Nothobranchius furzeri: one gene and its partners. The protein of the gene in region 3 purifies or fractionates together with the protein of the main gene of each other region. This does not show direct contact. Links are inferred from orthologs where the notes say so. Each region holds a gene or a part of one and is shown on either strand. Other genes may lie near its edges.

Evidence for each region.
Region 1: the proteins of ibtk (region 3) and eif4a1b purify together in Homo sapiens (co-immunoprecipitation; 4 studies listed by BioGRID and IntAct, counting the BioPlex papers as one, with this or other methods). This does not show direct contact. The link is inferred for Nothobranchius furzeri from reciprocal best matches to the Homo sapiens genes IBTK and EIF4A1.
Region 2: the proteins of ibtk (region 3) and rpp25l purify together in Homo sapiens (co-immunoprecipitation; 3 studies listed by BioGRID and IntAct, with this or other methods). This does not show direct contact. The link is inferred for Nothobranchius furzeri from reciprocal best matches to the Homo sapiens genes IBTK and RPP25L.

What each region holds. Positions count from the first base shown.
Region 1 is NC_091743.1:86,634,724-86,645,838, reverse strand, and holds eif4a1b (eukaryotic translation initiation factor 4A1B), read right to left. Parts: upstream 5,865-11,115; 5' UTR 5,780-5,864; coding exon 5,757-5,779; intron 4,681-5,756; coding exon 4,638-4,680; intron 4,391-4,637; coding exon 4,258-4,390; intron 4,010-4,257; coding exon 3,870-4,009; intron 3,376-3,869; coding exon 3,207-3,375; intron 3,060-3,206; exon of another isoform or gene 2,919-3,059; intron 2,756-2,918; coding exon 2,646-2,755; intron 2,553-2,645; coding exon 2,409-2,552; intron 2,331-2,408; coding exon 2,193-2,330; intron 2,089-2,192; coding exon 1,999-2,088; intron 1,779-1,998; coding exon 1,699-1,778; intron 1,597-1,698; coding exon 1,452-1,596; 3' UTR 1,407-1,451; exon of another isoform or gene 1,085-1,406; 3' UTR 654-1,084; downstream 1-653. UniProt on the Homo sapiens protein: ATP-dependent RNA helicase which is a subunit of the eIF4F complex involved in cap recognition and is required for mRNA binding to ribosome.
Region 2 is NC_091745.1:59,615,570-59,624,755, forward strand, and holds the end of rpp25l (ribonuclease P protein subunit p25-like protein), read right to left. Parts: intron 5,367-9,186; coding exon 4,740-5,366; 3' UTR 4,170-4,739; downstream 1-4,169. Other genes in the region: gamma-aminobutyric acid type B receptor subunit 2, read right to left, coding at 1-103, 218-406, 530-595, 678-779, 1,084-1,254, 1,336-1,473, 1,832-2,083. UniProt on the Homo sapiens protein: May be a component of ribonuclease P or MRP.
Region 3 is NC_091745.1:53,126,704-53,136,879, reverse strand, and holds the end of ibtk (inhibitor of Bruton tyrosine kinase), read right to left. Parts: intron 9,130-10,176; coding exon 9,017-9,129; intron 8,933-9,016; coding exon 8,787-8,932; intron 8,592-8,786; coding exon 8,473-8,591; intron 8,038-8,472; coding exon 7,939-8,037; intron 7,833-7,938; coding exon 7,686-7,832; intron 7,565-7,685; coding exon 7,364-7,564; intron 4,944-7,363; coding exon 4,811-4,943; intron 4,488-4,810; coding exon 4,362-4,487; 3' UTR 4,132-4,361; downstream 1-4,131. UniProt on the Homo sapiens protein: Acts as an inhibitor of BTK tyrosine kinase activity, thereby playing a role in B-cell development. Down-regulates BTK kinase activity, leading to interference with BTK-mediated calcium mobilization and NF-kappa-B-driven transcription.

The DNA of each region.
Region 1 (11,115 bases), on a different chromosome or scaffold from region 3:
CAAGTTGGACCAACCTGCTCATGAGTCCACATCTTAGGAAGTCGTCTTCAGTCCAGTGGACTTTAGTTGAAGTCATGGGAACATCACCTGTAACATCTATAATCTGAGCTCCAGTCCAGGATCAATGTGGTCCACACCAAACCAGAGCACCCATCAGCGCTTTGGTTCCTAGAAACAAGCTGGTTGCGATAAAACGGCTCCTGCGATGCAAAAAGTTGTTTTCGCTTCATGCAGGTAAGGCCGGGTCACCTGTTACTGATCTCTGATGGCTCAGGAAACAGGTCTGGTACCTTGTGTTGCGTGATAATGTTCAGGGCAGCTTTTCCTATAGATCCACGTTCTAAATGTGCAGCCAGGAGGGTCGTGATTGTTCTCCGTGTCAGAAATGGTTTAATAAATGTTTTTCCGGTTTACGTCAGAACCAGAACTACACAGGAGCCGAGCTGCTGCCTCTAGCTTCACCTCCAGCCTTCAGCCAATCAGAACCAGCACCTGACTTCAAAAGGAACTGGTAGGCCTGCTCAGACCAGTAAAGCAGGATGGACAGACCACATTTCTAACCCCCACGGTCATGTGACCAACCCCTTCAGAACAGCTGGAGTGCAAGGATCCACTGTTTTTCTGGTTTTGAATGCAGAGCCAAGTTTACACTGTTAAAAAGGAGAAATCTTTATTTTTAAAAGGCCATTAAAATAAATACTTTACAGAAAGCAATGTAGAAAACTTGATACACGATCTCAAAAAAAAGGTTAAGTCATGTTAAAGAGGCTAGAGGAGGTATGAAGAGGGGTATCGACCGGTTTAGGAGAGGATTTCACCTCCGTTTTCTGGTTTGGTCCTTTAATGTCACTTCTCACCCCCCCTCCCACCCCATTAGGGTTTAAAACAAACAAGTCTAAAAGCACAAGGCTGAAGCTCAGGAAATCTGGTGCTGGAGGCAAAGTTTCACACCACGTTTGGATTAACAGCTCTTTATTAAATCAGCCTCACATGCTCCTGAACCGGATCTCTTCTACATGAACGGGTGAACGCTGCAGAGTCCCACTGGAGTCAGGAAATACTGGTCTGGTCAAACCCAGCGCCCCTGTGGGGTTAAAGCATCGAGTTGTGGAGTGTAAACTGTAGTTGCAACCAGGAGACACCCGAGCGGTGCTGCACTAAACACTTCAAGACACTGCTCATGTTCACACTTGTGATCAACCAGACAGGAGCGCCGGCTACAGAACAAGAACCACGTGCATCAGCACCGAGCCGCTAACGCTCAGGTGCTGGTCTGATCAAACTACAGCAGAAAGATGAAGCAGTTCATGAAAGGCCAACAACAACGTCAAGTGTCTGGATGTAAAAACTCATGATGGAATTCAAAGAAAAATAATCAGATCATAAAGTTAAAAACGAGATTTTACTTCTAAAATAAGCAGACTGGGGCAAGAAGAGCCTGTGGTATCTTTCTAGATCAAATCAGCCACGTTCATGGGCATCTCCTCGACGGTGGTGTTGTAGAACGTCTCAATGTCTCTCAGGGTTCGCTTGTCATCTTCGGTCACCATGTTGATGGCTACGCCCTTCCTTCCAAAACGACCACCTCGACCAATCCTGAAGGGAGAACCAAAAGCAGGATGAAGAGCTTCACCAGAACCAGGAAGAGGTGGTGCTGGTGGGGTCATAGTGAGGAAACCGCAGTATTTCTGCGAGTACCTGTGAATGTAGTTCTCTCTGTTGGTTGGAAGGTCGTAGTTGATAACGAGAGACACCTGCTGGACATCAATCCCTCTGGCCTGAAGGAGAACACATATGTTAACCATCTCCATACACACACACACGCCAGCTGCTGGACGTGTAACCCGCCATTCAGTTGAGAGCTTCAGACTTGAACCGAGTCACAGTGGAGGACGGGTGAGTTACTTTCCCAAAGAACAATCAGTCCTGCACCACCACCACAGATGGGAGGAGAGGGAACTCTGGGGTGTGTGTGTGTGTGTGAGAGAGAGGACGCACCAGCAGGTCAGTGGTGATGAGGACTCGACTGGAACCAGAGCGGAACTCCCTCATGATCAGGTCTCGTTCCTTCTGGTCCATGTCACCGTGCTGAGAGAGACAAAATAAACCTGAAACCAGCCGAGCTTCAGTCTGAATTTCTACGGAGGATATGCAGCGGGTCCTGGTTCCACCAGGCTCTGAGAGGCCGTTACCAGAGCAGAAACGGTGAAGTCTCGGGCATGCATCTTCTCAGTGAGCCAGTCCACTTTCCTCCTGGTGTTGATGAAGATGACGGCCTGTGTGATGGTCAGGGTTTCATACAGATCACACAGCGTGTCCAGCTTCCACTCCTGTACACACAACCAAGTCAGATGGTCAGCCCAGGTTCTACACACCCATAACAGACCATGCTGCCCAAGCTGGTTCACCTCCTTCTCCACATTGATGTAGAACTGACGAATACCCTCAAGGGTCAGCTCCTCCTTCTTCACAAGGATCCGGATCGGGTCTCGCATGAATTTCTTTGTGACCTCCAAAACATCAGCAGGCATTGTGGCCGACAGAAGGACAACCTATCAGCACCAAACCACGAGAACAGCATGAACACCAACCCTTTTCTACACCTAGACTGTGGTCTGAAGGTCCCAGCCCTCCTGGAGTCTTACCTGGATGTTGCTGGACAGTTTCTGAAAGATCTCGTAAATCTGATCCTTGAATCCTCGACTCAGCATCTCATCAGCCTCATCAAGCACGAACATCTTGATGTATTTAGAGGCTGAAAAACAAAACGCCGCTTTTTAAGTTCCTGTACAAATGCTAGAACCTGATGTTGAAACGCCTTCCTATTTTAAGTCCTCCTTCTGGGAAGTCACTTCAGACAGGACTTCTTGTTTTCATTCACACTAAGTCCAGAGAGCTAAAGGTACCTCCTGACACAAGTACTCAGAACCATGAGGGTGTGATCATGTCTCCAAGTCCCTGATGTTGTGAAAACCCAGGTCAGCAGAACGCTAGCCTGAACATCACCACACCAGGACGACTCAAGAGTCAGTTGACACGCATGGATTTCATCATCATACTGCACTTCCTGGGTTCAGGAAGTGATCTGTTAAAAGAAACAACCCACTAACCCAAAGAACCCGACCATTTGGTACCTTCTAGGCCTGGTCCAATACAAGTCCATCTACCAGAAGTGTGTCATTCCCAGAGACGGATAAAGTACTCACAGATGTTTTTACGTGTTATCATGTCAAAGACACGGCCCGGGGTTCCCACCACGATGTGAGGAGCTTCCGCCTGCAACTTCTGGACTTCACTGCGGATGCTGGTGCCCCCAATGCAGGCGTAGCAACTGGCCCCCATGTAGTCGCCAAGAGCCAGAACCACCTTCTGGATCTGCAAACACAAGCCAGGTGGTTTGTGAGGAACCACAACCCTAAACCAACGTCAGACTTAAGGTGAGGAAGATGTGGCAGCAATGCACTAAACTCACTAGTCACCCAGTCTGTCCCCACCTAGTAGTAAAGGGCCTACAACCCCCCCCCCAAGGTGCTTCACAACATGGTCATCCACTCATTTAAGCTGGCTTTCACGCGACCTTCGTCAACACTGTCCTTATTTTGCTCAACCTATCCCGCCTTTCCCAGGAGCCACTGATCGTTTTCCACCCCCCCCCTCCCCTTTTTTACATTTTTAAAATCACAATTTTGTATTTTGGCATTTAACTCAATTTCAACCCAAGTAGGTCTAGTGGGTGGGCGGAGGGAAGAGCGATGAGGAGCTCTTGCTCATGCTGGGCGAGCCAGTTTTAAGTCCCTTGGGTCAGTTCAGTCACAGGCCTGTTGAGAAATCAATAGCCAACACCCTAACTGGTGTGACTGGGTCCTTACCTGCTGAGCCAACTCCCTGGTGGGAGCCAGAACCAGAGCCTGGGTGCCTTTCAGCTCTATGTCGATCTGCTGGAGGATGGAAATGGCAAATGTGGCAGTCTTCCCAGTGCCAGACTGGGCCTGAGCAATCACATCGTAACCTGGAGACCAGAGAGACGGAAAGGGTTTTCAACTAAACTAATCCAGATCATCATCACCAACTCCACTCCAGCTGGCTGATACGGGCTTGTCCTAAAGGTGCAACATTAGCCACATCAGGGCTGATGAGTCATCGGTACGATGATGTTGTGTAACCAGTCAACCACACAAGACAAAACAAAGCTGCTGAGATTTTAGTTAATCTAAGGAAAACACTAAAGTGCACCCTGAGGCCAGTCCTCTTACCTACCCTTGATACAAGGGAGAATAGCTCTTTGCTGGATAGCAGATGGCTTCTCAAAACCATAAGCATAGATTCCCCTGAGCAGAGTTTCACGCAAGTTCATCTCATCAAAACTGTCCACGATCTGGTTCCAGTTGCTCTGGGAGACAGAAACAAGGCAGAGTGACGTCAATATTTCCTACAAATGCTGATCGGATGAGACCAAGACAGAATCAGCAACAAGGCCTTAGAATCAAAAGGATCCTGTTCATTTTAAACTCAGTCCAGATGGAAAAGCTTAATCTCTCCTAATCATACAAGGCAGTTACTGCACATGTGAAACATCAAATATGTAAAAAGCAGGAACACATCTACGTCAGAAACCTTTAATTAGTAGAAATTTTTACCTCGATGATGCCATCGGGCTCCATGCCCTCGGGGCCATTGTCTCTGAAACCAAACAATGAATATTCATTAAAATCACGGATCCATCATTTCTCTGGGTTCCGTCAGCAGACGGGTCCGGTAACGGGTCCAGAACGATCGGAACCAGCCCGGTAGTCTGTAGAACCGACCGAAGTCGTTAAACGGTAAAGCGACCAGACTGGATCCTTCAACGGAGTCCGCCATTTTTATCGTAGGCCGCATTCAAGATGGTCGATCCGACCAGCTAGCAAAGGCACTGAAACAGGCCGTGGCCCGGAAAACATTCGAGTTTACGGTCAGATGAAGTATTTAACGAGCAAAAACGGAACATGACGTTCCGGATGGCAACGGTCCAGCGAGACAGAGTTAGCTTGTAGCCACGGCCTGCTAACTTAGCTGGTCCTAAGCGGGCCTCTGGGTCTCTACCCAAGGATACAGCTAGTAGAATCCATCACCAACAATTTCCTTGCCGAGGGAAACCGTGAGGAACGGATTAGGGTTGCTCCAGCGGCGGCAATGACAGAAAAATGAAAAGTCGCGTTAGCATGTCCACCCTCCCAGTTAGCGCCGCCATGTGCACCGATCACCGAGGCCAGAACATCTAACGCCTACGCTAACGGGAAGGCTGCAAATGGTCGGTTGTACGCGAGAAATCACAGACGGAACATCATTTCGCTGGTTTTGGTAACGGAGTGACGGCAGACACCCTAAACTACCAAGTCGGCGAAGGCCTGGAGCCCTCACGTGCTACACGGAACCGGCAGCCTTTTCTTTTTTCTCAGGGCCGACATCTTTAATACACGTTCACTCTTCTGGCGAATACAAATACGCGATTAAACCTACAAAATCAACTTTTGAACTGGTTTACCTAAGTGATATCAGTATCGATCAATAAGACTGAGATTCTAGCATCACCACTGAGAACAGGCCTCTAACAAGGCTAGTCCTTTTAATAAGCCACTCGCGGTGCCTCAAAGTCTATATTACGGGCGAGTTCCTAGTCACCAATTCTCACAATTCGACACAAAAAACACAAACGGCAATAAATATCGTAAATAAAACAGTATAATATTGTTTGAACAATTCGTTATTTCACTGACCTGTTATCATATTCAGCCGACATTATTCCAAAGAAAGAATCCGGGGCAGAAAATTCTTATATATGAAGAACTCACAACGTCGCATTTTCATTGGACAACATCACCGTCACTTTTCTGTAGACCCGCCTGTCGAGGTTCGTGATTGGTCCACTCCTACATGTATTTTTAAAAGGCGGGACTAGGCGGAACTTTGCTTTCCACCAGAAAGAGGTAGGGATCTTTTTCGTTTAAACGATCAAAAACAAACATTGACAAGAACGAAAGTCTATTAGAGATAAAAAATCATGGTTTGTTACTGAGAGCGAAGCGGGACGCGGGGACTTGATTCAGAGCTGACTTCAAACCTTTACTGTAAGAACAATAATGCCCAAAAAGGGCAAAACGTTAACCGCAATAGTAAAATAAATGCGAAATGTTGACCTTTAATGGCTGATAAAATGGGTCAATAATGAGAATCATTTTCAGTTGAACATTAACTTACACCGCACATTCAGAGTTTATTCATTTTCTAAGTTATTGTGAGGTTGGACTCTTTTTACAGTGCATAATTAGTACATCAAATGTATTGTACCAAAGTGTTTTATCCCTCCCAAAATGTTGTAAAACAATTACAAAAATGTATTTTCTTATAAACATTTCTGCAGTTCTAATAAATTGTCACAGTAATTCTTTTTGACAGCAGTAATGTGTTGTTTTGTCCTACCTGTGCAGGTCAGCTGAGCTCTGACCTCAGTGGCGATAGTCCGTGCTCCCTACATCTGTTATCTGTAAACTTTCTCATTCTGTCTGTTTTGGTCAAAGAGTAAAGGCCACTTGAATCTTCAGATATGTTAATCCATAGATGTTTAAAATCACGTTTCACCACAAGTGTAAATGCTGCGGTCGAGTCCAAAATCAACACATTTAGGATGAATCATTTTTAGTTCACTAAAGCAAGAGTGGCTCAGAATGGCCGGACCTGCTGGAAGGTTCTGTAAGAATATACTCCACTTGTTCGGGTCATGAAATGTTTTTTTATGTAAATTATGAATGATCATCTAGGGATGCACCGATACGATACCAATACCAGTATCGGTAAAAGTTAACCGATACCAATGCAGTTGCTTGAAAATGGCTTCACTGTAACTTGTCATTTCTGTTCACCTAATATTTTGGTTTTGTGATGATTTCTTTTCATATATTTTACTTTTTATCTACCTCACAGTCCTCCTGTTGAAAGCAGAGAAGAAAATAAAATCTGAATTCCAAATCATTGCATTTTTTTGTGTGGTAGAAGTATCGGTAGTGGTAATCGGTATTGTGAGTACTCAGATCCAAGTATTGGTATCGGTTTGGAAAAAAGTGGTATCGTTGCATCCCTATTATCATCACACTGACTTTATGGATGACTAGCTACTCAAGCTTTAAATACACAGTTTGTTTGCCACATGTTTTTTTTATTTTAGCAACCATAATGCATCATAGAAGATATAGAAAACAACTCTGTTGCATCAACTGAGGAAAACAGGATGCAAATCTAAAAACACAACTATCCACAAGTATGATGTTTATTTTGTGTATATATTTTTATATATATATACACTGGAACAAAAAAAAAGAGAGAAAGCACGTAACTCAGTTGTGGACATATGGTGCCTGTTGTGTAGCTGCTGTGGTCCCCACCAAAATGGCTTAAAAAAACCTAAAACATTTTTTAGACTTACTGCAAAAGAACAGAAAACGTAGTCCGTTTCAACACCATTAGTTCAAAGCAATACGCATTTCACCACATTTACTGACAGGAATAAAAACACAGTAAAAAGACAAAGTAGAGGCTCCCCTCACTCTGGGTCTTTGTTTGGCTGCCCTGAGACGCAGAAACAAAAACTCACATTACTCAGTTACATTTGTTACTGGAGAAGGCAAAAAGGTTACGGTGCTGGAGCCGGGGGGGGGGGTCTGGCTTGTCCGCTGACGGTGAAGCTCAAACAAACTTCTTATGAAAACCCTCTCCTGGCAGCATTTACTCCAAGATCCAGGCCCAGCGCTGACCCAGCTGAAGACATCGATGAGGGGTTCGGATCAAACTACACAGAGAAATGGTACCAACACAAACTGACATTGTCCAAAAACTCACTCTAGCATTTTATTATGGGTGGCAATATTGTTGGTTTTACAAAAACAAAAACCGTGAGGAGCATGAAATGATGACAAACTAGAACCGCCTCCTCTAAACCCTTATTCGTGCTTCAGAGTCAACAGTAGGATGAACAATAAGCTCATTCCCAACATGGATGCTGGTCTTCATCTCTGGCAGCTACTATACAGGAACTACGGCGTTAAATTCAAACCAACTTTTCAGAAGGGTGAACTGAGGGAAGCAGACTAAAGGAAAACGGTGACAGTGGATATGCAAAGTGTCTTTTCTCAGGAGGAGTCAACAAAGGCTTTGTTTAGTCCTTTCTCCAGCCCATCAGTTCCTACCCTTGTCCTTCAGTTGTTTCATCACCTCTGTGTGGTTGGGATGAGGGGGCTAGAGGTGAAAGGTCACAGGGTGAGCTTGCAGTGGCACAGTTCTTTGTACATTTGCCTCCTGAGCTGGGGCATGTTCTGCTGCCCGAAGCCGAACGGCTGTCCTAGAGCCAGACACTTACAGTACTGCGACAGGGAGGAAAAAGAACAGACACAAGTTACTTTTATGCATTCACCTCCTAACAGCACCAAGGCACGCTCACCAGGAAACGCTAACCCAACGCTTCATGTCTGTGCTGCAGACGGCTGCAGGTTCTAGGTTTTACTGGACAGTTGTGTCCCACTCAGAGCAGCGCGGTTAGGCCATCTCCGTTAGTAACACGTCTGTAGTCACCGCTCTTTTTTCACACTTGAATCGATGTGGTTCCAGGCCTAACGACCCGGGCCGATAACGGTGAATGTCGGTCAGTGTTTGGCTAGGGGGTGGAGTCCGCCTCGCTGCCTGCAACCTTTTCAGGGTCTGACAAAAAGCAACTGACTGAGCAGAATGTTCGGCATCACTACCGTGTTCTTCTCTGTTGTGTTTTGTGTACAAATCACCTCGCGGTACTGATGTGCTGGGTCGCCCACGCCCACCCACTGCAGCCGTAGTGGAAAGCTCCCGTTACACAAGGAACTCAGACACATTTCACTCATTCTGAAATGCATTTGAGTGTAAAAACAAACAATCCTTTCTTAGCCAATCGCAGCCAAGCGTTGTTGTGGTTAACGTGTTGGTGCGGCTGTTTAAAGGGACATTATGGAAGTGTGACAGCCAAAACATGTATAGAAATAATAAATGTCTTTTTCATACGTTCTCCTGCAATGCCCTGGTCCTGTAGAATGAGCCCTGGCATTTTTACTGTGATTGCCTGTTTTTCTGTAAAATCACAGAAAAAGAGAGATGCTCGGGTCGAGCAGGCTGCTTCATGCGCGTTCACGCTCAGGCATCGCCCGTAGCATTTGCTATCCGTAGCTTTAGCAGCAGAGAGAGAGGCAGTGCCACTTTGTCGCTGTTCCTAACGCCTAGTGACAAAGCTAGCTACATTTCTGAGGACCCTTAGCTACTTTCTGTAGAACTTTCTTCTAGATATTTCCTGCTAATTAGCAACAAAATAGCCATTTTCACTCCGAACCGTTCTTTGAACGTTGTTTCAGCTGCAATCAAGGATATAAACGTTACAGATACAAAGGGTGTCACTGGCGCTTTAGCTCACCTAGTAAGACGTCGGACTCTTGTGTGGGAGACCCGGGTTCGAATCCAGATGTGAACATATTTACTTGAGAGTTTATTTTTTACATTAATGGTATATATTTTTACAGTAAGATGTACAAATTTTTATTTGAGACTTGCCGATCAGCATTGAATTCACAGATAAAAAGTTGTGGGTTCAACTTTCATTTTGGAACAATTTTTCAAGCAAGGGAAGGGAATGATCTGAGCATGCAGGAGGACTGACCCATCATAAACCTTTGTCGGCTGTGCTGAAGAGAAAGGTACAGAACCAAATTATTTAATTAATTAGCTGCGCGTTCTCCTGTCCTCCGGGCCACACACACACACACACACACACACACACACACGACTGTCTCAGCTGTTATTTTCGTTAAGGAGTGTGCACGTACAGCATGCGCGCCTCGTGCACGAGCCTACTATTGAAGCTGCCGTTACGCTTTTGGCCTGAGGGGGCAATCGCGAGCATAAAAATTCAAAAGTCCGTAAAGTCCCTTTAAACATAGGTGCACATCAACTCGGCTCCAGGACTTTGGGTTCCACCAACAAAGTGTCCCAGCTGATCAGCGTGTGATCACAGCTGATGGGAAACCAGGAGTACTGGGCAACAAGGGTCTGTTTAATGGTGCAGCCTGTATGTGTGATCAACTACTGGGACTGGTTGCAAACTCACCTGTAGTACAAAAGCACCACAGTCACTGTCGTTGTTCTGGCGACCCACATTCTGTAAAACACCAAAACAACATCAGTATCCAGGAGGTCAGAATATCACCGCTCAGCAGCTACAGAAGGAAACAGTCCAGCTTTACCATTTTAAAAAGGCCTTTCCACCCCATCAAAAAGTCAGGTTTGTCTTTTTTGATGGCTTCAGCTTGAAGGTACTTGAAAATATGCTGAAAAAGAAAATAAATTAAGTCTTTGAAAATCACAATCCGATCATATCTAGTGCACACGACTTGGACTAATCTAACCTAATCATAAACCCACCACACCAAATTAAAAAGATCCATAGTTCATACATCACATCATTTAGGATTCTGTATTACTGACATCTATAGAGAAGTGGAAGTTCTGCAGCATAGCTGTTGTGTGTTTTCAGCTCTCAGACCAGACACCTGCCTAAAGCCGGGCGTACACTGTGCGACTTCTTCACTTTTTTGAGCCGATTTTCCACTCGTGCGAGAATCCACGACATCGGGGCGAGTTTTGCGCCGAGCGTCGTGTAGTGTACAGGGGGTTACGAGAGGCGATTAACACCTCGTGACCAGCTACCGATCAGCAATCGTGAGCTCGCACGAACTTCTGGTGTGTTTGATATTTTGCTCGGCCCTCGTGAGGGTATCGCACTGTTGAAGCGGCGCTGCGAGCAGCTGCGACCCAAAAAGTACCAGAACCGCTCACGGCGCATGCGCAATCATGCATCAACCAGGGTATCTGCAGGTTTAAGGGAGCCAAATTTAAGACTTTTTAAGACCTTTTTTAAGGCCACTTTGACCAAATTTAAGCTATTTTTTAAATTAAATTTAAGCTATAATTTCCAGCTATTGCCTGGAACCGGTGCTAACCACATCGTGAACGTGGGATTAGCCAGCCAGTTACCATTAATGTTGCACTTCCCCATGGTGCAAGCTCCCA
Region 2 (9,186 bases), about 6.5 Mb from region 3:
CAGCGACCCAAACTGCATCATAGGCAAAGGTGTGGTGAGGGCTGCCCTCTGACCCCTCCTGCATCAGCTGCTTGAGGTAGGACTCCTGGAAGTCATGAGGAGTCTGTGAACGAGATCTTTGTTTAAGGTAGACTTCCTGTTTTTGTGTCCATGTGAGTCACATAAACTTCACATCCAGAACAGTTTGCTGCTGGATTAGAGGTTGAACATTTCTGACCCGTCCAGAGACTCCTGGTGTGTTTCTGGTGCTGAAGTCTCGGGCCTGTAGCCTGAAGGATCCATCGGCCGCCATCAACAGGTTGTGAGCAGAGCAATGTGATGGCTGCCATCCCAGCCTCCATCCAGCTGTTCCTCCAGCTGCAAAAATCCACTGGTACCGAGGTCCAAACAGGTTTAGTCGGTAGGCCTGAACATCACACACAGAAACATGTTTTTTTGGACTTGTGATTAAATATGTGGATTATTTATTTGTGTCTAATTTTGCTGCCTCAGTAAAATCCTGAAACAGGAAGTCTGAACTCTCACTCACGCAGCAGAGCACTTCAGACACAGAACCATCCTCAAATAAGGCGATGATGATGCGTACATCTCGTTTCTGTAAAGTCGGAACAAACATGGATCCCTGAACTGAAACCTGAACATGAAGCATCCTGAACCTCTGCTAGCCCCTCAGCTACCTTCAGCTCCTTCAGGCTGCTGCAGGCATCGTCAGAGAAGTTTTCTGCAGCAACGAGCTGAACGTCGGCCTTCAGCAGCTGTCGGATCAGATCCTTCTTCATCTGCAGAGAAATCAGACGAGGTACCAGAGGAACTGCTGATGAGAAAAGGTGAATGACCAGGTGATTTTTAAACAAACTGAGTATGTTCAAATTCCAATTCTGTTATCTGCACAGAACAAAGGTTAAAGGTCACATTCTGAGAAATGTATTCTGAAGGGTTGTTTCAGACAAAAGTTTCACTGATTAAACTTCACAAAGTAGTTTTTTTGTTAAAACAGATCTCTAATAAATGCTCAAATGATAGATGGAATTGGTGTTGATCTTAGATTTGTCAGTAGGTCAGTAGGTCACCATCTCCCATCACCTCAGTCAACCCAGGTTCTTCCTCTGTAACCAGCCCGATTCGCCTCCACTTGTATCGCTGCAGCAGCTTCACTGCGGCCTGGTTCAGATTTCGAACTGAAGGAGCTGTGCTGAACAGGTTCCTGTACCACTTCTTGTTGGATTGGCTGGGGGGCGGGGCCACAAAGGACACCTTTGAAACCATGGGAAAATAAAATGAGGTGATAACTCAGATAACAGATCACACAGAGTGATGACATAAAAAATGTTGCACTTGAACCAGGCTGAGAGCAGGCAGAGCACGAGCGATGAGCGCCGTTACGGGTGGACACATCCCCCCAAACAGTAACAGGTACCTAGGCCCCGCCCACAAGGTGTCAAACAGGACTTTTAGAGCTTTAGCAGGATCACACTGAAAAATATGAATAAAACACCATCATGTGTGTTTGTAGGGAGAACTGAGCAAGATAACAGTTGGAACTCTTCATCCCTTGGTATCATTAGGATGTGTCTACGTGTTGGAGAAGGAACGAGAATATCAGAGGGAAAACCAAACTGGAACCAGGAATGTGCATCAGCCTGAAATGCTGGAACAGATGAATGCTGACTAAAAACAAGGCTGACTAAACAAAATGTGAAATTAGAAGAATTATTGGTTCCTTTTATTTTTACAAAAAAAAGACATTCTACTTGTTTTAGATCTGTTGGAGTGAAATCTAGAACACAGCTGACCAAAGTTTATCAGGAGGCTTTTAGTTCTGGAGACCAACCTGTGAGTCCAGCAGCTGGAACTGGATCTCATAGTTTCCCAGTGGTGGTGGCTGTTTCTCCAGGTCCTGCAGAGCCAGTCTGACAGCTGGAACCAGTCTGGCCATCAGGTTCTCTCGACCTGGCCCAGGGCTGACCGGCATCATCAACAGCACGGGCACAGGGTGCCGGACCAGAGCCAGCACTGATCCGCCTGCCAGCCAGCAGACCAGCAGTAGCTTCAGCCCTTCCTGAACCCATCCAAACCCACCCATTCTCTGCTTCGATTGCAAACTTCTGATCGTCCTGCAGGAAGAGTAATCCTCAGTAAGCAGCTGACAGGCGACGAGTCCTCTGAGGAGATAAAAGGATCAGCAGCAGCGCAAGATGTCACCAGTAACCACAGATTAACACCAAAAACACAGTAAAACAAGAAAGCATTCATAGACAGTGCTGCTATAAAAGAAGAGAAGAGCCGCTGTGACAGCCTTGTCATCCAAACAGGAAGTCACTGAAAATTAAAATAAATTTCAGCAATTTCAGTGTTAACAAAACATTTGTAGAAAATGTGCTGCATGCTGCCACACTGCTTGTAATTCAGGAGGCATGGCCATAATAAAGCATGCAAGCAGAGTAGAAAGTAACCAAAGTATGTTTTGTTGATTAAATAATTTATTTGTGATTGTAGTTCAAAATAAAAATATGATAAATTGCACTAAACTAGTAAAAATACACCATCTGCTTCAGTCACACCAGCCACACACAGAGCAGGGGTTCATTAAAACAATTTGGACAATTTCGACTCGGGCTTTTCTTTCAGTGACAATCATTTATATTTCTGAAAGCATTCTTTGTTGGCAGCATTTTTCAGACCTGCCAAAACTTTTGCACAATACACTCTCTCCCTCTGTGTGTGTATATATGTGTGTTTGTGTGTGTGAGTGTGTGTGTGTGTGTGTGTGTGTGTGTGTGTGTGTGTGTGTGTGTGTGTGTGTGTGTGAAGTACAATGAATGTATTTTCGTTCAGGTTCGCATTTTTATTCACAGTTGAGGTGTGTGTGTGTGTGTGTCACGGTGTGAAAATGTGGTCATGCAACCATTTAACCAGCTGTGTTGCAAGATTTTCCATGTCCAAAATGAGCTTATATGATTTCCAGACCGTTCTGTGCATAAGTAAGCTTTAGAAATGAGAAATCTGATCACTACCAGACCTGGAGAACTAAAACCCATTCCAAAAGAACCTGTGTGCCAAAACAAAGTAGGTCAGAAGATAGAAGCAACCTTCATGCCTTCTTCTAAAGATGTTCAAGAACAGGAAAATCCAGAACAACATCTAAAGCCCTGCTGGCCTCACCAAAAACACCCCAATGATCCCAAAGACCTCTGGATAAATCTGTAGACTGAAGAGACAAAAGCAGGCCTACCTGGAAGGTGTGCATCCAGTTCCATCTGGAGTACTACAGCCAGACATGGTGGTGGCAGTGTGATGGTATGGGGCAGCTTCAAGACCTGGACAATTTTAGTAATTTGGAACCATGAATCACGCCCTCTATAGCACATCCAGGAACAGGTAAACAGGTTGTTCATGGCATTCCATTTTCATGAAAACATTTAGAACACAGCAACGATGTGAATTTTATGAATGTGTTTTAGCAATTAGCAGACCAACAGCTCCTACACAAAAGTATTTCTCATATAAACAATATAATTTGAGAGAGGAATGGAATTTAAAATACCCATCTGTGCGCACGAACAACAGTAAAAAGTCAGTGCATCTCTGTTTGTGGGGTAAAATTATGGAATGGATTAAATAGTGATTTAAAGCAATGTCCAAGTATGACCCAATTTAGAAAGTGGTACAAAAACATGGTCTTCATGAGGTACAGGGAGGAAGAGGGATTTTGACTCAAAAAGATCCAATGAGTGGTGTGAGGGTGTAAGTGTACAAAAGAAAATGGGGTGTGTTGTAAGTGTGTGTAGTAGGGAATGTTAATCGCTGTGTGTGGTGGATAAATGGAAAAGGTATGTGGAACTATTTTGTATGTAATGGTGTAAATAGGCCCTTTGACTATAGATGAATATAGAAAATTTATGATGAATTAGAAAAACGACATTGTTCCTTTTGATCTTGAACAAATGGAAAAGGGGGTTAGGATTTAAAAAGCACTAGCTTCCTCCTACTCCTTTTCAAAAGGAATATGATAATTAAATTTTTGTGTGATTATCAGTGATTTTATTTTAATGTCTACAATGACTTTATTATTATTATTGTTATAATAGTTATTTTATTCTTATTATAATGTTCGAAATAAAGATTTCATTCATTCATTCTCTCACAGAGAACCAAAAATAAAAACGCACTTGCACGCCAAAGAAAGCTTTATTTTCTACGTGACTATCACACAAATGGCTCTCCTTTATGATGAACACCAAAATATCAACAACTCTTCAGCATGAAGGAGGTTTGGTTTGTCCGAAACATTTGTCAGCTTAGAGCGGCCGTCCTCTTCAACACCATCTTTACCGTGGTGCGTTCATGTTCGTCCTCGGTTAAAAGGTCACAGACAATATGAACACAGCACCGTGCAACACAATCTGAGCTGTACGCAGACCTTCATGTAACTTTATGAAAACCCTCATCAGATTACAGCTGTTTGAGCAACAAACATCTGGATGACTTTAAATGGGTCGTGGAGACAGATTCCGATGGAAGATGGATGACATTAATGAACTCTTACATGTTGGTGGGAAGGAAAGTTGGGTAAAACATTCTTAGAAAAACAAATCCAAATAAACATTTGGTTTGGAGCAGACTCCTCTACCTCCTTATATTAAAACCAACTAAACCAGTTTAAACCTCCCAGTGTCCCTACATGTCCACATGCTGTAGAAACACCTGAGTCCTTCTGGTGCTTGACCAGAGCGTTAATTTTAACGGCCGGTCCCCTTCCCTCTGCCTCTGCCTCCTCCCCGTCCTCCTCCCCATCCTCCTCTCTTCCTGCGGTGTCCAGCTCGCTGTCCCGTTGGCCCGCCACCTTCCTCCTTGCTGGCGGTCGGAGCCCAGAGGGCGTCATAGCGGCCGGGCGCCTGGTATCCTGGCTGGTTGGAGTCCAGTGGCTCCCTGGAGAGGAGGATCCAGATGGCAGGCAGGTTCCTGTTGACGGTGAGGCTGTCGAGGCCGGCAGCAGGCTCCAGCGGCTCCCACACCTCCACCACGGAGCTGTAGGTGAGCTTGGTGACCTGGTGGAGCCCCTTGAGGCGCCGCTTCACAATCTCTGCACAGGTGATGGCTTTGGAGACACCCTTCCCAACGGCGGTAAACACGATCTGTTTACAGAGCGGCCGGCCCGGTGGTTCTTCGCTTCCTTCCTCAGGTGTGGGCCGTCCCTCCTCCTCAGCTCGTGAGGGACTGGCCTCCAGGCGACTCAGAGCAAAGCGCAGCAGGTTGCGGATCTTGCTTCCATCTTTAACTCGCACCTCCGGGGTGTCGGGGCAGAGGTCGGTAAACGGACAGACTGAAGGCCGCTCTACGGTCCGCGCTTTACCGTAATTCTCCATCTGCAAAAACAAAAGCACGTTTAACTAACCGGCACATTTGTTGTCCATGTTTTCATCATCTCAAATGCCAGAATTTTATTTCTGCCACATTTATTGAATTATTTGGTTTGAACAATTCATAATCCACACTTAATATTAAGAAATAACAAGTCACCATCGTTTAAAGAAAGAAAAGTTTAATCCTAATTTAGATTTGACCCAAATTATAAATAATCACCCAAAATGAGCAAAACTGGGATCTCTGGGATGAACGATTAGGAGAAAGGAGTTTCTACTGCAGCTGAATCTTCATCTTGAGTATTTTTTTTAAGTCATGCTTCATTGTTGCAGAAGTCATTTGATGAACAACTTTGATATTTATAATAAATGGTCACTTTATTAGGCACACCTGTACAACCAACACATTCAAATATCTAATGAACCAATCACGTCAGCTGGTCAATGCATTCTGTCATCTATGAGTCTGGACCTCAGCTGTACGTGTCATGAGTCGGGGTGAGTACTCCCGTCGCACATTCCACCTTTGAGTTGTTTTTCAGGAGAGGGAGGCGCCCAGCTGCTTCTGGTTAGCAATCAACGGCACTGGCTTCTTAAGGAGTTGGAGAACACACCTCAACGCGGGATGATTACTACTACTCGGTATATTCCAGCCGTCTAGTGTTGCAGTGACTTTGTACCTCTTGTGTTTTTTTTTGGCTTATTATTCGCTGTGGATTTTTGTGTATACATCTTCTTCAGGATTTTTTTGGAACATCTCTGGAGTAGAGCCTTCTCAGGATTCAGTGACTCATCAGGAAACTCACCTTTGCCACATAACAGTCTGGACTCAGCTTCCCGTGTTCTCCATCTCTCCAGTCGCCCCACTCCTCTGCTTCCCACAAGCTCCCTCTCCTGGATTTACTCACCTTGACTCACCCAACTCTCGACCGGCCCCTCCCGATTTTTCCTCATCTCCTTCGCCCAGTAAGTCTTATCTCTGCACCTCCTCAGTTAAGACTTACTTCTCAGGACTCACCTTATTTTGCTCTCCCCCTCCTCAGACGCTGAGTACGGACTTTACTCATCCACTGGAAGCTCCAGTGCGCTTTTGGTTCCTGTCTACTAATAAATACCTTTTTTTTGATCTTTATTTGTGAGTGTGTTGATTCTGCATGTCCTGGGTTAAACTCCTTCCCCAGATCATGTCAGAATCATCCCGCCAACCCGCTAACCCAGCAGACTCAACCCTCTCAGATCTTCTTCAGAGAGTGTCTCAACAGGAGCAGACATTACCACTGCTTATGGATCAGCTCAACGCTGCCCACAATCGTTACCAGCAGTTGGAGGCCCTAGTCCGGCAGATCCATGAGCGGGTTACGCAGCCGCTGCCACAGACTACAAGGTCGGAACCTCAAGCAGCCGCTCCTGTTGCTTCCGGACCGGGAGTTCCTGTCCCCACAGAGACTTCTCATTTTCGTCCAGCCATTTCTCCTCCCTCACAGACATTCAGCGGTGAGTTCGAAGAATGCCACAGCTTCCTGCTCCAGTGCCGGCTTGCGTTCGAACGCTCACCTGGAGCCTTTCCCACGGACTCAAGTAAGATTTCTTACGTTATTGGACTGCTACGTGGAAGAGCCCTACGGTGGGCGGAAGCTAAGAGCCATTGTGCTGCCTTTTTAGCAGGACCTTTTGATGAGTTTTTAGCGGACTTTACATTAACTTTTGGACAGACCGAGTCCGTTTCAGATATAGGAAAGAGACTCTGGAACCTGTCGCAGGGCCGACGATCGGTTGCAGACATGTCGGTAGAGTTCCGAACCCTGGCAGCTAGGACTTCGTGGAACGAGGAGGCGTTGATGGCTGCATTCACGGAGGCCCTCAGTGTTCGTGTACGGGATCAGCTGGCGCTGTGCCCCGAACCTCAGTCTCTCGAGGGGCTCATTCGCCTGGCCATCTCCATTGATAAACGTCACCAGGAGCTACGGCGCCCCGCCAGCAGTGCCCGTCCAGCTCCTATTCCTGACCGAAACCTGGGTGGTCTTCGCTCCTTTTCCGAGACCCCCACAGCTGATGAACCTATGCAGATGGGTCGCACTCGCCTTACCCCAGAGGAACGGGAACATCGTTTGAGGTCAGGTCTCTGTTTATATTGCGGGCAGACCGGACACTTTGCCAGAGCCTGTCCTGCTCTGGGAAAAGGGAGAGCCCATCAGTAAAGCCGGGGCTACTGGTGGGCGGAAATTCAGACTCTTTTAGCTCCCGTTGTTCAATTCCATGCACTGTGTGTTTTAATTCTGAACAATTTCAGTTAGAGGCTCTGGTGGACTCTGGTTGTGAGCAATCTATGTTGGATGTCGGTTTGGTAAAGAGGTGGAAAATACCTACCACCCGTTTGTCTTCTCCTCTCACGGTTTCGTCTCTGGATGATCGCAGTTTGTCCACCATCACTCACCAGACCATCCCACTGCAGATAAAGGTGTCAGGTAACCACACAGAACTTCTGGCATTTTTTGTATTTCCCTCTCCCCAGTCTCCAGTGGTTCTTGGCCATTCCTGGTTGAAACACCACAATCCCCAGCTGAACTGGAGAACCAGTCAGATTGAAGGATGGAGTCCTGAGTGTTCTCTAGCCTGCCTTCGCTCAGCTGCACCAACTCTCCAACATTCCACAACCTCTCCTTCTGAGAAGATTGACCTCTCCAACGTTCCTCCGGCCTACCATGACCTCCGACAGGTATTCAGTAAGGACCGTGCTTCTTCTCTTCCCCCACACAGACCTTTTGATTGCTGCATTGAGTTGTTACCCGGAGCCCCACTTCCCTCCAGTCGACTATATCACCTTTCCAAACCTGAGAGGGAGAGCATGGAGAAATACATCCAGGAGTCTCTAGCAACCGGTCTTATCAGGCCGTCCACCTCACCATTGGGGGCAGGGTTCTTCTTTGTTCCAAAGAAGGAGGGGACTCTAAGGCCCTGTATTGATTACAGGGAATTGAACCAAATAACAGTAAAGAACAAATATCCTCTGCCTCTGTTAACCTCCACTTTTGAACCCATTCAGGACGCCACCATTTTTAGCCGCCTGGATCTCAGAAATGCGTACCACTTGGTACGAATCAGACAGGGTGATGAGTGGAAGACGGCATTTAAGACTCCGTTAGGACATTTTGAGTATCTGGTAATGCCTTTCGGCCTAACAAATGCTCCAGCTGTGTTTCAGTCTCTGGTGAACTCTGTTTTAGGAGATATGTTGAATAAGTACGTGACTGTCTACTTGGATGACATTTTGATTTTTTCAAAGACTCTGGAACAACACGTCTTGCATGTGCGTTCTGTGTTGCAACGACTCCTGGAGAATCGGCTTTATGTGAAGGCCGAGAAATGTGTTTTTCATGTCTCTACTGTTAAGTTTTTAGGATTTGTGATCGAAAGTGGAAGACTGAGGGCTGACCCTGAGAAGGTCCAGGCGGTCACAGAGTGGCCTACCCCCTCGTCACGTAAACAGCTTCAGAGATTCCTGGGTTTTGCCAATTTCTACAGAAGATTCATCAGAAATTTCAGTCAGACTGCCATACCTTTAACCAACCTCACATCCACTAACCGCCCTTTTGTTTGGTCCACAGAGGCTGAAGCAGCCTTTCAGAAGCTGAAAAAACTATTCACAAATGCTCCAGTGCTCCATCGCCCAGACCCCCAACTCCAGTTTACACTCGAGGTGGATGCCTCAGACACCGGAGTCGGCGCCGTGTTGTCACAGGTATCACCGCTCGACCATCGCCTTCACCCTTGTGCTTTTTTTTCTCGCCGTCTCACCCCAACAGAGAGCCGATATGACGTGGGT
Region 3 (10,176 bases):
TGCTTCTATTGTTAAGGCAGCTGACCGGAGCTGCGGCCGCAGGGTTGTCGGTGCCTGTCGTGGTGGCAACTCCTGAATCCGCTGGTGGACACCAGCGGTTAGGGATGCTGTCAAGCTGAAGAAAGAGTCCTATCAGGTCTTTTTGGCCTGTGGGACTCCAGAGGCAGTGGATTGATACCGGCAGTCCAAGGGGAATGCAGCTCGGGTGGTTGTGGAGGCAAAAACCCGGGCCTGGGAGAAGTTCGGTGAGACCATGGAGCAAGATTATCGTATGGCTTTGAGGAGATTCTGGTTAGCCATCCGGCGTCTCAAAAGGGGAAAGCAGTGCACTACCAACACTGTTTTTTGTGTGCTGCTGACCTCTACTCGGGACATTGTGGATCAGTGGACAGAATATTTCAAAGACTTTCTCAATCCCACTGGCACGCCTTCCAGTGAGGAAGCAGAGTCTGGGGACTTTGGATCGGACTCTCCAATCTCTGGGGCCGAGATCACTGAGATGGTCAAAAAACTCCTCAGTGGCAAGGTCCCGGGGGTGGATGAGATCCACCCTGAGTTCCTTAAAGGTCTGGATGTTGTTGGGGTGTGTTGGTTAACGCGGCTGGGATGGTGGTCCCCCTATTTTAAAAGGGAGACCGCAGAGTATTTTCCAACTACAGGGGGATCCCACTTCTGAGCCTAAACTGGTAAGGTCTATTCAGGGGTTCTGGAGAGGAGGGTCTGTCGGATACTTGAACCTCAGATTCAGAAGGAGATAAGTGATTTTCGTCTTGGCCGTGGAACACTGGACTAGCTCTATACCCTTAGGGGGATCTTGGTGGGTGCGTGGGAGTTCGCCCAACCAATCTTCATGTGTTTTGTGGATTCGGAGAAGGCGATCGACCGCGTCCCCCGGGGTGGGGCCTTGTGGGGGGTGGGGGTTAATCCTTGAGTATGGGGTACAAGGCCCTTTGATAAGGGCTGTTATGACCGGTGTCAGAGCTGGGTCTGCATTGCCGACAGTAAGTCAGGCTCGTTTCCAGTGAGAGTTGGACTTCGCCAAGGCTGCCTTTTATCACCGACTCTGTTCATAACTTTTAAGGACAGAATTTCTAGGCGCAGCCAGAGTATTGAAGGGATCTGTTTTGGTGGCCTAAGGATCAAGTCCCTATTTTTTGCAGATGATGTGGTTCTATTGGCTTCATCAGACAGTGATCTCCAGCTTTTGCTGGAGCGGTTCACAGCTGAGTGTAAAGAGGCTGGGATGAGAATCAGCTCTTCTAAATTTGAGACCACGTTCTTAAATTGGGAAAGGGTAGAATGCTTTCTCCAGGTCAGGGACAAGGTCCTGCCTCAAGTGGATGAGTCCAAGTATCTTGGGGTCTTGTTCATGAGTAAGGGAAAAACGGAGCATGAGATCGATTGGCAGATTGGTGCTGCATCTGCATTGATGCAGACGCTGTACCGATCTGTTGTGGTGAAGAGAAAGCTGAGTCTAAAGGCAAAGCTCTCGATTTACCAGTTGATCTACCCTCACCTATGGTCATAAGCTTTGGGTAGTGACCTAAAGAATGAGATGCCAGATACAAGCAGCAAAAATGAGTTTTCTCTGCAGGGTGGCTTGGCTCTCTCTTAGAGATAGGGTAAGAAGCACGGTCATCCGGGAGGGGCTTGAAGTAGACCTGCTGCTCCTCCACATCAAGAGGAGCCAGTTGAGGTGGCTCGGGCATGTGGTCAGGATGCCTCCTGGACACCTTCCTGGTGAGGTTTTCTGGGCACATCCAGCTGGAAAGAGATCCAAGGGAAGACCCAGGACACGTTGGATGGACTATGTTTTTTGGCTGGCCAGGGAACGCCTTGGGGTTCCCCCGGAGGAGCTGGCCCAAGTGGCTGGGGAGAGGGAAATCTAAGCATCTCGACTTGGGCTGCTGCCCACGCGACCTGACTCCAGATAAGCTGCAGAAAATGGATGGATGGATGGATGGAATTTGAGTTCATATGTTATTTATAAATGTAGAACCAACAATTCAATCTAAAATTAATCTTGGATAATTGTTCAACTTTAATATGATGCTGTAGGGCATATTTATGTCTATGAAAACTTTAATAAGATTGCCCAAGACAGACTTGTTGAGATGATTTGACAACTGCTCATGCTTTTTAGTTCATTACACCAAAGTTACTTGTAACCCTGTAACATTATGGCTATTATTCTCATCTCGCTTTAAACGGTTTAGGATCATGTAATAAACATAACTATTCACCTCAGACCAAGTTATTGAATGTTCATTTTTTTCACATTCATATATGAGTCTATAAGTCTTTATGATGGGAATAATGTGGGGCATCTGCTAAGAAAAAATAAGATACAGCATTAAGCTGCTGTAGTCTTTGAATTGCTGCAAATTGATATCAGTGGAGCTTATGTAATGCACTTGGAGACATAGCTCCAATGTGATTTGATGGTTGTGGTGTTGATGGTCCAGGACTGAAGCCAGCAGGGAGGGGGTCCATGCTGAAAAGGCAGCCATTCCACGAGCACACCGACTTCAAATGTATTTTCTAATTAGCAAGAATCAGCAGGTCTGCAAGCTTTGCAAACAACCTCGAAAGGCCCTTTTGGACTCTGTTGCAATGGAAAAGAAACTGTTAGATTAACCTTCAGTATGGGGCGCAGGTTAGAACTAATTTTTGCAGATCAGAACAAACTCAAAAAAATGTAAGCAATTAAAGTCAGTTACATTTATTTTCCCATCTGTAATGGGGTGTTCCACGTGGAGGCCTTAGCTGCACGATCAGCTGCTGCATGCCTGACAGTAAACCTCCTTCTGAGCTTTGGATTGCTTTGCTCCATATCAGGACTGCTAATGCTTTTCTGTTCCAGAGCTTCTGAGAGAAATAACCTTGACCTGATGCAACCTTTCGCTCTCAGAAAAGCAGGATCATGCAATGAATAGATGGGTCAAACTCAGCTTAGAGAACACAGAGCATCTCTGATCCACACCCAGGTGTTTGCCTATGGTCATCCTCAGCTTAGAGCTCCACCAGAACACAAGCAGTGTGGTCTCTTTAGGAAGATCTCAACTGAAACTTTAAAGAACACACAGAACGCCCAGGCACCATCACGTTGGCTTTCTTTAGCCTCAACAAAATCAGCTTGAGTTTACTTACACATGATTTTAGGAAGCTGCAGGTAGAATCTGCGCGCACAAACACACACACACACACACACACACACACAAAAGTACCAAGACTCTCCAGAATCATCTTAAAGTTGCTTATTGAGCCCCACAGACTCATTCTGACACTTGAAAGATTGCATTGATATTCAGGGCACAAACAGAATGAGCAGCTCTTTAGAAATATTAACGCTGCATTAGTGTGATGTCAAAAGGAAGAGTTTGTCCTGTTAGTTTAACGTTTCATCATGCGCTGGCTAATGGATCCTAATCTGTGATTAACATTTCCCTCATGAGCCGCCTCTCTGACTTCAGATGTGATGCTCTACTTTTAATCACCTGGCTCTCCGTGGAGATCAGGGTCATCAGAGTTAATCACGGGTGGAGACTTGATAATGATCTTTCTCTCATTCTGGACAGATGTTGTAAAAGTAGCAAATTACTGACGCAAGTACTTTCTTTTTTTACCTTCATTCAAATCACTCAAACCTATTAGGAAGCATACAAACGAGCCAGGTTCATTCCACAGTTGAGATGATTTATTATTGCATGCCAGCTTCTCTTCACATCTTTAGGTCTCAGACACGTGAACAAACACAAAGATGGCATCTAAACAGGAGAATCGGTGGTCCAACTGAATGGATTTTTCAAGATAAATATATCATTATTTTAAATGGCATCAAAGTCTAAGAGTGACGGTCAAGTCTGCACCAAATTGTTTTAGCATTTTCTGTGATAAATTCCTGTTTAAGGAAAACGTTTGCAAATGTTTCAGCTGTGGCGAAGAGCCAAACAGGTCAGGAAAAATAACTCATTAGGTAAAGCAGATAAATACCCAGTTAGGCAATGGCACTCTTAATCACACAGGGAACTTCCACCTATTACACACGCACACACAAACAGAAAAACACACACACACTTTGTGTTTGAGTTTTGAGCATTTTCTAGCTGCTTAAGCATCAACTTTCCTTCTCAATCTTTGGCAACTTCATTTGACTCCATGAACCTAAACTTGCTGACCGTACCATGTGTAGTTTTTGCCGAGCGATGCGTGAGTAATCAGATGGTCAGAGACTAACCTCTGAAAGAAAACCTTCCATCACATAAACGAAACTCTGTGCAGCTATTAAACTAGATGAAAGCAACACTTGAGGAGAGAAGGGGAGATTCTCTCCGAGCTCCTCGTTCAACAGAACTAATGGATCAGTGTTTGTGCCAGGTCGGGGCAGCCATGGGACCTCTGGGAGTTGTCTCCACTACTATCAGCTCATCTGGGTTGTCCCGTGCCTTGTAGTGGAGTAGGAGGTCCTGTATGGCTCGCTCTTCAATCTACGAAGAAAAGAACAGCCACAGATGCTGGAATCAGATGAAACATTCAGCAAAACCTCAGCTTGCTGGTGGGAAAAATAATAAATGCTGACAGCTTAACGGTAATAAGAGTCTTTAATATAATGATAACTAGGAAGTCCCATGGGAGGGGGTGTGTGATGGCAGCAGCCTGTATGTAGAGAGAGCTGAGCAGCACTGGAGGGACCTTATTACTGACCAGAACTGCTGTTTACTGGATAACATTAACCAGACAGCAGCTTCTCTGCTTTAAGGCTGGACGCAGAAGCTTCTCTTCAGCAGGGTGTGAGAACATGAGCGCCTACCTGGATGAGAGCCAGCGGCTTCTCCCGGCTGCGGACCAGAGCGGCCTCCTGCTGCTTCTCCTCCTCCACGATGGAGGCAAAGGTCACCAGGGTGGCGAGGGGGGGGCTGCCCACAGCACCCAGCACCCAAGGCCTGAGGGCAGATACGGGCAACACACAGAGCATCAGCGGCCGAGCATTTAGAGTGAAAGCAGCAAGAGTCTGAATGACTTGGCAAAGGTTGAGTCGACCGTTCCTGAGAAGCTCCTATGAGGTAAAGTCCGTGTCTCTACCTGGCTACAAACCTGTGTGTTGGATAACGGCTGGAGTTCAAACACAATCAAAGTCAGAAGGTGGTAAATAACTTTAATCCCAAACTCTATTATACTGAAGTAGTACAAGTTCACACTGAAGATGTTAAGGCTCAGATCTAATTCTATACCTCGATTTGAGAGGATCCTAACATCATCATGTTTAGACTCCATTCCAGTCTACAGCTCTGAAGTTACCTGTGTGCAAAGAAGTGAAGTCGCATATAGCATGCTGTGTTTACGGGCTTCTGGCTTAGCTCCTTCACCGGTCTGCTATGGTGAGGGACGCTATGGTGATCCCAGTCCTCACCTACAGTCATGAACTCTGAGTAATGGCATAAAGATCGCAAAGCCAAGCAGCCAAAATGAGTTTCCTCCATAGGATGGCTGGACTCAGCCACAGGGTGAGGAGCTCAGACATCCAGCAGAGACAGAGTACAGTCGCGGGCTCACGGCACCTCAACGTGGACAGAATCTAGGCAAGGTGGTTCGAGCATTTGGTCAGAGTGCCTCCTGTTGGCCCCTGTTGGGTCTCGTGCTATACATAAGACAAGTGTAGTAATATGGCCAAAAGGTACATCTGTAGAGATCATATAAGAAATAAAAGTGTTTGCCGTTTGGTCAAATCAAAGACTGGAAAGGGATCTCTATTATATCTGTCCCAGCAGGCTGACTACTGCTGGTCCTTCTTGAGCCTTGAACTTGTCTGTCTCTGCTCATCCAAAAACCCAGGAAGAGCTGAAACGTGCTCTCTGCTCTGTGTGATCCACAGTGACATGAGGACTGCCCTCATCATTTCTGATCAACATCAGCGGCTTCACTTGACTGAATCTCACAGCTGTTTAATATCCACAAGTCTGTTTTTATCATCGCAGCACCAAGCTTTAGGAATACAGCAGTGAGAATAAGATACTGGAAATGCCTTCGCTTTTCTCTCAAGACCTTAAATAAACGGAGATCGTCAGAAATGGCAGCACGCTGAGGAATTTTCTTTTTTTTTTTTAGGCTTTTGGTCTCAAACAGCCGAGATCAGAAAATAAAAGCATATAAAAACCAGGGCTGACTTTTAGCATGTCAGGGTGTATGGTGTGTGTTTACTGTGTTTTTCTAGCAGTCAGCAAAGGTCAGAGTGACTCTGGGTCTGCAGGCAGGTCAACCCAGCTGTACCGGTCACTCAGAGCTGCACACACCTCTCAGAGTGGAACACCACACCTCACTCTATTTGTCTAACCAGACTTAGTCAACAAATTCTTTCTTTCACTCACGCACGCACGCACACACGCACACACGCACACACGCGCACACGCGCACACGCGCACGCGCACGCGCACACGCACACGCACACGCACACGCACACGCACACGCACACACACACACACACACACACACACACACACACACACACACACACACACACACACACACACACACACACACACACACACACACACACACACACACACACACACACACACACACACACACACACACACACACTTCTGTCATAATGAGGACCATCCATTGACTTCTATTCATTTTTGTGACCACAAAGTCTAACCCATACCCTAACCAATGTGGTTCTATCAATAACCCGAATCTAATCCAAACTAGAAGCCAATTCACACCAGCACTGTGTGGACCAGCAAAATATCCCCACAGTGTGGAAATGTCCATACAATACAGGTTAAAGTTCACTTAAACATATAAAAGCAAACACACAAAAACACACACATCCACACACACACACACATCCCTTTTTGTTTTTCCAGTCTAGAATAAACAACATTTATGCCACCACAGCATAATATTTCTGTTTTCATTCAGACACAAAAATGAAGCTAAAGTAAAAATAATAACTTATGGGTGAGAGATTAGGGGGAAAGACTAAAATATAAAAAATGTGCAAAGTTGATGTTATCAAGGGACAGAAGTCTCAAACATCTCAACAGCACCTTCAAGTGGAGATCATAGGTACAGAACGAAATGAGATCTGTTCTGGAAGTAGTTTTAGTTCTTTCTGCTTTAGTGTTCCAACACCAAAGAAGAACATGGCACAGGCAAAAATAATCCATTTCATAATTTGGTTTGGATCTGTGTACATTCAAAAGTGTTAAAACACTTTTTAAAAAGCAGTTATGTAAATTAAGCATAACAAGTACAACAAAAAAATGTTTTTTTTTTTACTTCAGTTGTGCAATGTGTGTGTGTGTGTGTGTGTGTTGTTTTTATTTCCACGTCTGCTGTGTAGAAGGGATTTGCTCACCCTGCAGGTCTCTCTGGCTCGCTGCTCTCTGTACTTTTTAACGTGACCCTCCTGGCAGCAGGTGTGGCGCTGACCGGGGGGCCCAGGGCACTTTGGCCTCTCTGTGTTCCTGTTTGTCCTTCTCTTGTTAAACAGTTTTCTTCTTCCTCCAGAAGAGCCCGGAATGAACACAAGGATGGTGAGGATTGGACAGCTGTCGCCCTACAAAAACCAAACAAATATATAAGCACTACAGAATGCTGGTTGGCAAGTGAATCCACCTGTAGATCATATCAACATATCAAAAGGATAGTTGTTGGAAAAGGTCAGCGTTCATTCTCACCAGGCTTTCTCGCTGCATCTGGACGGAGTTCCTGTGGGGGCTGGTTTGGAGGCTGGAGGCTCCCCACTGGCCTCCTTGCTGGCCATGGCCAACAGCTTCCTCTGCTTCTGGGACAGTTTAGTGGAAACCAGCGAGTGTTTGATGTTGCTGTTGTCAGACGGGTAAATATGTACAGCTGAAGTAAACTATCACATAATCAAATAAAATCCTTTGTTAAAAAAAATCCAATAAAAGCAGTCAACCCCCTCCTCACGTTCCAGGACTTTTAGGAGAAGCACCAGGAGTCTGCAGGAAGCTGGCCTCCATGTCCATGATGGTCCTTAGATCCAACACTGGGGATGCACGAGTTGGGCTGCAGACGGTTAAAAGGACGCTGTTATTTAATCATGGACAAGCCTGAGCATTCTCTTCACAAGACTGTCCGACAACAGAAGAGTGTCTTCAGTCAGAGGCTTCTTCAGTTTCGCTGCAACACTGACCGCTACTGGAGATCCTTCCTGCCAACAGCCATTGTAATATACAACAACTCTTTGATGACTTGATTATTATTATTATTCTGAGCTACCACAGCAATCAATTTCCCTCTGGTATTAATAAAGTATTTTTGAATTGAATTGAATTATCAAACTGTAGAAATTAGTCCCTGTTTTAAAAAAACATGCAAAATGGCAGAATTACAGAAATTACAAGTTGTGCTGCAACCACTATTTAATCTTCAACTTTAATTTGTTTTAGTGTAATAAGATGAAGTGTTTATAAATGTGCAGAGCTTTAGAACCTTCCTTACCAGGGAAGAGTCCTGTGAATAATTTGTGGAGTGGAGGAGGACAGTGTGGGGACGCTGCTCTTCAGGGATGTTGGGGTGCTGGGGGGGCTCTTCAGTCTCTGACTAAAAGCTCTGTCATCCTGCAGAATAATAAAAACCTTCAGACTCCCACACCTATCCTCTCAGTGATCTGTATTCCAGCTGTACAGGGTTGGAAACATCCAACCTTCAGAAATGACTAAATACATCTAAAGCTACCCAAGTCGCATCAAATGTAAAGATTAGATACTAGATTTTCACACTGTGAGCATAAATCTTAAATATGTAAAAGAAACCTCAGCTCGGTCAGGGAACACAGGTGACTGAACATCTCTGGGACTGCCGACTCCCATAAAGCTGCTCTCAGAGTCAGACGTGAGGATCTCCTGCAGGGACTCGGTGGAGTTGGCCTTGCCTGACTTCACCAGGAGCGGAGACACCGCTGGACAACAGGAATGTTGGTGACAATGTGTCAGATTACCCAACAGCATGCTGCTGTTAAACAGAAACGGACATCAAGTTTCACCTGCAGTAGGAGGACTCTGGATGATGTCAGAGAGAGTGTAACCTCCTGAACTGTCAGAGCGTCTCCTTGGTTTCTTTTTAGCCTTCATCTTTGCCTTCTTTAGCAGGATTTCCCTGAGGACGGACAACATTCACAACATTTACGATGCTCCTGAGAGAATCACGTTTACACTGGTGCTGACACCATGCTAGCATCCAGTCAAACACTGCATCACAGGATGGGTGTAAAGTTTAATTCAGTCTGATTTTTTATATTAACCTTCAGTGCTAAAGCTCTGACTGAGGCAGGAAGAGACTGAACAAGCTAGTTCACAAAGCTCGCTCGGTTCTGAGCTGCCCACTGGATTCAGTTGAGGAGATGTGTGAAAGGAGGATGCTGGTGAGGATGACCATCATCTTAAAAAAAAACCCTCCCATCCACTGCATTCCACTGTGGAGACCATGGACAGCTCCTTCAGAGGCAGACCGAGACATCCCAGATGTAAAACAGAACGCTACCGTAGGTCATTCATCCCCTCTGCAGTAAGAGTAACTACTGCCTATGTGTACCTTTGTTATGATTTTTCTTCAAGTTATTCTAAGTGTTGGTGCTGCTGTAACAAGTGGATTTCCCCACTGTGGGATCAATAAAGTCTATTCTCTCTCTGTGTGTGTGTGCGTGTGCGTGTGTGTGTGTGTGTGTGTGTGTGTGTGTGTGTGTGTGTGTGCGTGTGTGTGCGTGTGTGTGCGTGTGTGTGTGTGTGCGTGCGTCTGCTCTGCTGTCTTCTTGATCCCCAGTGAGTCGTGGAGGATGGCTGCTTATACTGAGCCAGGATTCTCTGGAGGTTTCTTCCTGTTAAAAGGGAGTTTTCCTCTCCACTGTCGCTTTATGCTTGTTTAGTATGAGGATTGCTGTATAGTCACTGACACTCGTCAGTGACTTGATGCAATTTGATGGGTTCCTTATATAGGAAACATTATTTCTGATTGGCTTAATGAACTGTGAATTGGATTGTTTATTATGTGAAGTGCCTTGAGACGACTCTTGTCGTGATTTGGCGCTATATAAATAAACTTGAATTGAATTGAATTCTATTCTAAAAATATTCGTCAACCTATTAGAGGGACACAACCTTCTTTGGCGTTTTACATCAGCAAAGTCATAACTAATAAATGTTACTG